Linked DNA regions of Elephas maximus indicus. The protein of the gene in region 1 interacts with the protein of each later gene in a pairwise test. Links are inferred from orthologs where the notes say so. Each region holds a gene or a part of one and is shown in the gene's direction. Other genes may lie near its edges. The genes, in order: UBASH3B and DOC2A.

Region 1 (3,904 bases):
ACTTTGTCTCCTGATAAAAAAGCTTTAAAATCCACCTCCCCTCCCCAAGTTGATGGCCTGGGGCAGGGGAAGCAAATGTGGCTATCACTTGTTTTATAACGCAATTCACTTAGTCATCTTTACTGAGAAGTGGCAGGTCGGTCTTTCATAAGGTATTCACTGCCTCATGAAAATAGGCCCATTCCATCCTGAACACCTCTTGATGGAATGCCAGTGCCCTTTCTCTGTTCCTTCTAGTCCTCGCACCCCCTGGTGCCCCCACCCTCCTTCCACTTCCTCCCTCACCTCCCTCTTCCTCCTTTCCTCTTACCCTTCCTTTTCTCCTTTCCACCCCCTCTTCTCCCTGGTCCCCCCTCTCCCTTCTGGAACCTGAGATCCCACTCTTTCCACTGAAGTAACTGTCCCAAGTCGCTGACCATGTACAAGGTTTTCGGTCTAGTCACTGAACAGGCTGACCCGAACCCGGCCCCCAACAGGGTTTTTTTTTTTTTGCAAAATCTTTCAGAAGCAAAGCTTTTTATCATCAGGCCCTTATGGCTCGGCCTTCTGATCCACTAATGTCATCCTTCGGTCCGCTGGATTTCCATTATTAACCCCATCTAGAACCACATGAAACTTGAAACAAGTTATCTGCTGTTTTGAGGCCCAGCTGGGCTAAATGCAAGCCAAGAAAAGGGCTGGGGCTTGGCGGGGGGGGGGGGGGGGGGGGTGGCTCTCAGGCGCCCACGCCCCCAGAGCCTTCGCAGGTTGGGATCCCCCGCCTAGTCGGCCTCCGGGACTACAGCTCCAGCCCCGCCCGAGCCGCCACCGGCAGCGCGGCCGCTTTAAGAGAGGGGCGGGGCCCCGGCACAGGCAAGGCCGGGCCAGCCCACCCGGCTGCTTTTCCTTTTTGATCCATTCAAAAATTACTCATTGCAAATTCCCGGACTGCTCCGAGCAGAGAAGGAAGGGGGCGGAGGAGCGAAGGTTACTGCCGGCGCCGCGCGGGGGCACTGGGGCCGGAGCAGCTGCCAGCTGGTCCCGCAGAAGCAGCTCAGCGGCGGCTCTGGCTCCGGTGGCCTCACCAGGAAGCGGCAGCGCCTCGACACTGGGCTAGCCCGGAGCCGTCGCCGCCGCCACCACCAACACCCGCCCGGCTTTCGGTCTCCAAGCCCCCTACGGTCCTCACTCCCCACGCCCCGGCCCGGCGCCTCCCGGAGATGGCTGGCCGCTGAGCCTTGGCTCGGTACAGCAGCCCCAGCGCCCTCGGCATGGCCGCGCGAGAGGAACTGTACAGCAAAGTCACCCCCCGGCGGCACCGCCAGCAGCGCCCAGGCACCATCAAGCATGGATCGGCGCTGGACCTGCTCCTCTCCATGGGCTTCCCCAGAGCCCGCGCGTGAGTGACCGTGCGTCAGCCCCCGCGACCTTCGCGACTCGCCCGCCTGCCCCTCGGCTTCGCTCCGGCTCGCCTCCCCGCGCCTGCTGACAGGCGGCGCGCGTCCTGTGCCCACAACCTGTTGGGGGCAGGATGGGCGCGCCGGCTGCCTGGGACTCGGCTCCTCCGGGCGGGGCTCAAGGGGCAGACGCCGCGCGGGAGCTTGCCTTTGGATGCTTAAGTCTGTGGGGCCAGGGCACGTGGTTCCAGCCCCGGGTACCGTGCCCTGCGCCCTGCGCCCGGCTTCCGCGGGACAGGACTAAGCCGTTCTCCAGCGCGCTCCCTGAGGTCCCCGTCGCCGAGCCCCTGGGGAGGCGGGACCCGACAGAGGCATCCTTTCAATCCTGAACGTTTTGCTGGCAGGGGATCCTCTGGTGGCTGGGAAAGGACAAGGGACTGTGGGGCAAGGAGGCCGGCGCCCCTACTGCGGTGGCTTCCAGCTCCGGATGTCGCTCGCTGGTTCAGTTTCCCTCCGGAGTAGGAGGAGCGGGAGCGTGGGTGTTGCTGCGTGTTCATTGATTGGGAGGGTGGAATGAGAAGGAGAAGCGATTCCTCCAGGGGACATGGGTTCTCGTCAATGGTGACGGCAGCGCAGAAATCTGTGGGTGCCTGAGAGTAAGGAGGGGGAGCTGTCCTCTTTCATTTTTCTTTCCTTTGGAGGGTGGGGTAGGGCAGGGCAGAGATGGGGGCAGGTGGCTGTCCCTGCAGCCTGCTGGGCAGAGGCCTGGTTGCCAGCACAGGGAGCAGCCGCAGAATTCTTTCCCTGGTCAACTCCAGTCTGTGGGCTGGAAGCCTGCCTAAGAGCAAGCTACGGTCCCTTGGCCAGGCCATTCTCTCCCTGGTCCCTGTCTCTAAACAGCGTGCAGATTTCTTGGGTTTCTTAGGAAGGGACTTTAAAAACAAGACAAAACACGGCCACGGAGTCGATTCCAAGTCATAGTGAATCCCTAAGACAGGGTAGAACTGCCCCCATAGAGTTTCTGAGGCTGTAGCAACCCTATAAGACAGAGCAGAAATGCTCCATAGGGTTTCCAAGGCTATAAATCTCTTATGGAAGCAGACCACCACGTCTTTCTTCCACAGAGAGGCTGGTGGGTTTGAACGTCCAACCTTTCAGTTAGTAGCCAGGTTAGTAGCCAAGTGCTTTTAACCACTGGGCCACCAGGGCTCAGTGGGGATGTAGATGTCTGGAATCCTGTGGGGCTCTGCCTCTTTGAATTATATCACCTGAATGGGAGAGTTGGACATACTTTATCAGAAAGGGAAGGGCCAAGTTAATAAAAGTTGATTGATTGATTGATTGCTCTCTTCCCAGGGGATAATGCTGGATCTTTTTTCCTCTGCCCCTGAGCAAAGCTTGTTTACTCTTTTCTTTCCTATTTTGGCTCTTAATCACAGCAGACCCCTGAATGTGTCGTTCCATCCGGTCTACTGAGACAGGTTGGAACGGCCTTGGAAGGCCATGAGATGTAATGATTTCTGTCTCCTACTGACTTCTGAGTTCCAGGGCCAGATGCCAGAGTTCAAGGGGAAAGATGTGGAGGGCGCATCTGTTGTGCATCCTGCGAGTGAGGCCCTCCATGTGGATGATCCGATGTGCGAGCCCTTTAAGATCTGGCGCTCCGAGCGGGGAAGTCTGCTGAACGCAGAATTAGTGTGGTCCCAGGCATCTGCCTTTTCTGAAAAGAGGCCAGCGTCGAGGAACTAAATCACTTAATTAAGGGAAGGACTACTTAACTGAACTCCTCAGATATGTTGCTATTTAAACTAGCTTGAAGGGAACATCTGTATTCCTGCACTGGATTCTGGCACCTTGTACGTATCCTGGCAGATTACTATGATGGTCTAATTTTGGCTCCCCCAATCCTGGAGATCTCATAACAGCCAGCATTTACTGAGTATTTTGCTATATATTGTTCCGAACACTTGACCATTTTATCCTCCCAACAACCCAGTGAGGAAGGTACCATATGCCCATCTTATGAATGGAGAAACTGAGACTTAGAGATTACTTGATTTGCTCAAGGTCACAACAGTAAGCAGTGAAACTGGGATTCAAACCCTGGCAGTGTGTGTGCATAGCTCAGGCCCCAGAGCCAGGATGTAAATGAGTTAACGCTCATAACATGCTTAGAACAGTGCCTGACACATAATGGTCAATTTTTAAGTGTTAGCTACTGTATTAGTTTCCTGTGGCTGCTGTGACAAGTTACACCACACTGGGTGGCTTATAAAATTCAGAACCCAGAAATAAATTAAGAAATTTCTTCTCTCACAGTTTGGGAGTCTAGAAGTTCAAAATCAGTATTGCTGAGCCAAAATAAAAGTGTTAGCAGAGCTGTGCTCACTCCAAAGGCTTTAGGGGAGAATCTATTCATTGCCCCTTCTAGCTTCTGGAGGCTGCTGCCATTCCTTGACTTGGGGCTGCAACACTCCGGTCTCTGTCTCCATGGTTATATTGCCTTCTCTTCTGTCTATGTCAAATTT
Region 2 (3,904 bases), on another chromosome or scaffold:
TGACTTTTGCCCATTTGATAGGTGACAAATGGCATCTCAGTGTAGTTTGGTTTTTCTCTAACTTTTAAAGCACAAAGACTTAGTGATGTTGACTGTGCCAGGCCGTTTGGGGCACTGGGGACTCAGATGAATGAATCAGCCTCTGCACGCTGTGGAGCTCTCTGGCTGGTGGCGGAGACAGAGATGTAAACAGGATCCACAAAACTGTCAGCAGAGTCTGAGATAGCACCGGAAGATGAGGAGCAGGGGACAGATACTCCAGGAAAGCGCCTGGGAAGAGGTGACCCGGACTGACCTCTGAAAGAAGGGAAGGTATCCTCAAGGAAAGAAGCCTGTGTGAGCAAAGGTTCTAGGCCAGGGACAGCAGGTAGATCGGACCCCCTTCCTCTGCGCACCCCAAGTCACTGCGGATCTTCAAGCTCCGCCCACAGCCCCGCCCCTACGGATAGGGCGGGGGAGGCCCAGAGGCCCTCTTTCCTCCTCCTTGCTCTCTCTGCGGGGGAGGGGCGTGAGAATGCACGGGATGGGGGGGAGGAGCCGGCGTCGCCAAGGCAACTAGGCGGGTGGTCTGGTCCGGGAGACCCGCGAGCGACGGAAGGAAGAAGCGAGGGAGGGAGGCAGGATGGGCTTAGCGCGAGGGCCGGGGTCTCCTGGGAGGAGTTGGGAAACACCAGGCAATTCTCACTGTTGGTTCTTGGTGGCGCAGGGAGCCCGTGTGTTTGCGACTGTGTGTCTGCGAAGTTCTCCGGGTGAGTGTGCCAGTGCGTGTCTGGGTTTGTGCATGTGTGTTGAGCGTGCGCACGTGGGCATAGGCGTGTGTGCGCGGGAGTGTCCATGCAAGATGTGTGTGCCGGCCCATGTGCACATGTGTGTGCCAGCCTGCGTGCTCATGAATGTGGTGCGCTCGTGTGCGCTCCTCAGTGTACCCGGGCGGGCGGGCTGCCCAGGCGGGGTGGAGAGGCCCGCCCCCTCCCCGGCCGCCGGCCGTCCCTCCCCACCCCCCGCCGCCTGCGCCTGCTGCATCCTCCCTCCACCTCGCTCACCCCCTCCTCCCCGCACTTTCTTCTGGTCTCCCTCCCTCTCGGCTCACGCAGCCGGACTCGCGCTCTTCTTCTCGTTGGCCGCCCTGGAAAGCGCCGGCCGCCACCGCCCAGCCTGCACCCGCGGGCCTCCCCAGTGCTCGGGCACCTGTTGGACGCACAGAGACAGGTGCAGGGGGCTGGGCTGGCGGGGGCTTGAGGGTGAGGGTGAGTGTGTGTGTTAGCCTGTGTGTGTCTGCGGGGGTGTTCCGCTCTCTATCGGCTGTGATTTCTGGCTTCCTGGGGAGCCAAGCTCAAGGGGAAGCATCTGAGGCAGGGGTCCCCACCTTGGCTGAAGGGAGCGACCAGGCAGGCAGGCAGGCAGGCACATCCTGGGGTTGAACGGAGAGACAGTGAGCCGTGAGAGTCGAGAGGGGTGGGCCTGGTGCAGAGGGCTGGACGGAGCCTCCAAGGAGAGAGAAGGGGGCCTATGGGGCCGCTTATTGGGAGGGCAGGACCCAGGCCAGACAGAAGCCCAGAATGAGGGGCAGGAACTGGGAAGATGGACAAAGGGACAATTTAGAAGTAAGTGAGCAAAACTGAGGTGGAACCAGGATTTATTCTGGGGGTTAGTGGGGTGGCAGCCCAGCCCCTGTGGGGCAAGGCTTGAGATCTGGAGGGCCCAGGCCTCTTGCCTGCCCACCAGCTGGCAGAGGCCACCCTATCCCTGGACACCCAGGAAAGGAGGCCAGTGAGGGCCCTCCAGGTGGACAGGGCTGCCTCAGCAGCAGACGGCAGGTATGAGGAATCAGCCCTGGGCTCATGTTGTCTTCCCACTCCCCCAGCAGGGGTGCTGCATGAGGGGCCGCAGGGGTGACCGCATGACCATCAACATCCAGGAGCACATGGCCATCAATGTGTGCCCTGGGCCCATCCGGCCTATCCGCCAGATCTCAGACTACTTCCCCCGGCGGGGACCAGGACCCGAAGGGGGTGGTGGAGGCTTCCGGGAGGCCCCTGCTGGTCTGGCCCCCCTGGCCCTGGCCCCCCCTGTGGCCCTCCTTGGGGCTACCACTCCCGAGGATGGAGCTGAGGTGGACAGCTATGACTCTGATGATACGAGTGAGTTTGGGGGCTTAAAGAGCCCAGGGTGCTAATGGGGGCCTCCAGGCTTGTGGGGAGAGGATTGGGCCCTGTGGGGTGCATGTGCAGGGCGGTGGGGAGGCGGCGGCCACTGCTTCCACGGCGGCAGTGTGGAGATTAATGTCTCAGCATGGCTCAATATTAAATATTTCTGCTGAGACACTCAGCCACCCACACAGCCCTAGTTGTGGCCGAGGCAGGGACCCAGACGGACAGACACACACACACAAACATGCCCACTCATTTTCTTGCACACATGCTCCTGGGCTGATAGACACATGAATATACCTTCACAGCCATCACACCTGCCCACCTGGTACGTCTCACACACCTGTCTTGACACACTGACTCACATCTTTCCCCTCTTCTCCAGCTGCCTTAGGCATGTTGGAGTTTGACCTTCTTTACGACCAGGCCTCCTGCACGCTGCACTGTAGCATCCTCAGGGCCAAGGTGGGCACTCCCTGCTCCCCAAGCCCTAGCAAGGGTGGGTTTCCATCCTTCCTTCCCTTCCCCAGTCGTGACCCCTACCCTTTCCTTCCCCGCCCCCTTCCTGGCTGTCCACACCTCAAGAACCCAGCTCTGCAGAGGGAGGGAGGGGCTGACACCCACAGTCCTCTTTCCACCCCTCCTCCCCAGGGCCTCAAGCCCATGGATTTTAATGGCCTGGCCGATCCCTATGTCAAGCTGCACCTACTGCCTGGAGCCTGCAAGGTAAGGGCCTCCTCCGTCCTCCAGCATGGCCCAGCCTTTGGGTCTGTCCTAGACCCCTGCAGCTCCTGCCTTCAGCCTCTGGCCATCTGGGAACAGGGATTTAGAGCCCTTCGTCTCCACAACCCAGGCCAATAAGCTCAAAACCAAGACTCAGAGGAACACACTGAATCCCGTGTGGAACGAGGACCTGACATACCGTGGGATCACAGACGACGACATCACCCACAAGGTGCTCAGGTGAGGGCTCCATCCTCCCTGTTCCCAAGCCAGTTGACACTGTAACCCTCTTTGGTGGGTCGTCTCCCTACCTCTCGTTCAGCCCCTACCTCTTTGTTGCGTGAGAACATTCAATGTCTCCTATTCCCTTTGGCAGCAGGCCAAAAGGTTTCCCTGGAATTACTGCTCCTCTGACACAGGGCTGCCCCCTTCCCACCGGCCAGTTGCCTTACTCCTGACCTTTGTGTCTTCTGCCTAGAAAGCGCCACCCTCCCCTCCATGCCAGCTGAACTTGCATGCATCATGTGAGGGTCAGCTCAAGCTCGGTCTCCTCTCTGGTCATGAAGACCCCTTCTCAGAGCGCTGACTTAAGGCAGACCTCTGCAGCTGCCCATCCTGCTCCCTGCAGCCCCCTGAAATCTCTAAGGAGTGAAGTCTCCGGGGGCAGAGAGCTTCCTCCATCACCCAAGGAGGTAGAGCCGTGGGGAGCATCTCCTCAGGCCAGTGAAGGCGGCAGAACCCCAGCAGGCGTAGGCTGGGACCTCACCCCTTGGTTCACCCTATCTGGGCAATAAGGAGCCATGCGAGGTTTGCAGCAGGGAAGGGGCATGGTCAGTGCTGTGTCTTAGCGATCGTGTTGGTGGTGATGGAGGTGGCGATGTGGCGTGGAGGTAGATTGGAAGGGAGGACAGAGGCAGACACCAGAAAGGTTGGCACAGATTCCAGACGAGAGAGGATGAGGCCTGAAAAGAACTGACATATTACTGAGCGCTTACTGGTGCCCCACCTGGCCACACATTTTTACCTTTGTT

What was found.
Region 2: the proteins of UBASH3B (region 1) and DOC2A interact in binary tests that used the Homo sapiens proteins (3 or more experiments, as listed by UniProt). The link is inferred for Elephas maximus indicus from reciprocal best matches to the Homo sapiens genes UBASH3B and DOC2A.

Annotation. Positions count from the first base shown.
Region 1 is NC_064835.1:15,667,340-15,671,243, forward strand, and holds the start of UBASH3B (ubiquitin-associated and SH3 domain-containing protein B), read left to right. Parts: upstream 1-864; 5' UTR 865-1,250; coding exon 1,251-1,378; intron 1,379-3,904. UniProt on the Homo sapiens protein: Interferes with CBL-mediated down-regulation and degradation of receptor-type tyrosine kinases. Promotes accumulation of activated target receptors, such as T-cell receptors and EGFR, on the cell surface.
Region 2 is NC_064830.1:89,198,584-89,202,487, forward strand, and holds the start of DOC2A (double C2-like domain-containing protein alpha), read left to right. Parts: upstream 1-1,421; 5' UTR 1,422-1,559; coding exon 1,560-1,604; intron 1,605-1,864; coding exon 1,865-2,141; intron 2,142-2,535; coding exon 2,536-2,615; intron 2,616-2,801; coding exon 2,802-2,876; intron 2,877-3,003; coding exon 3,004-3,113; intron 3,114-3,904. UniProt on the Homo sapiens protein: Calcium sensor which most probably regulates fusion of vesicles with membranes. Binds calcium and phospholipids. May be involved in calcium dependent neurotransmitter release through the interaction with UNC13A.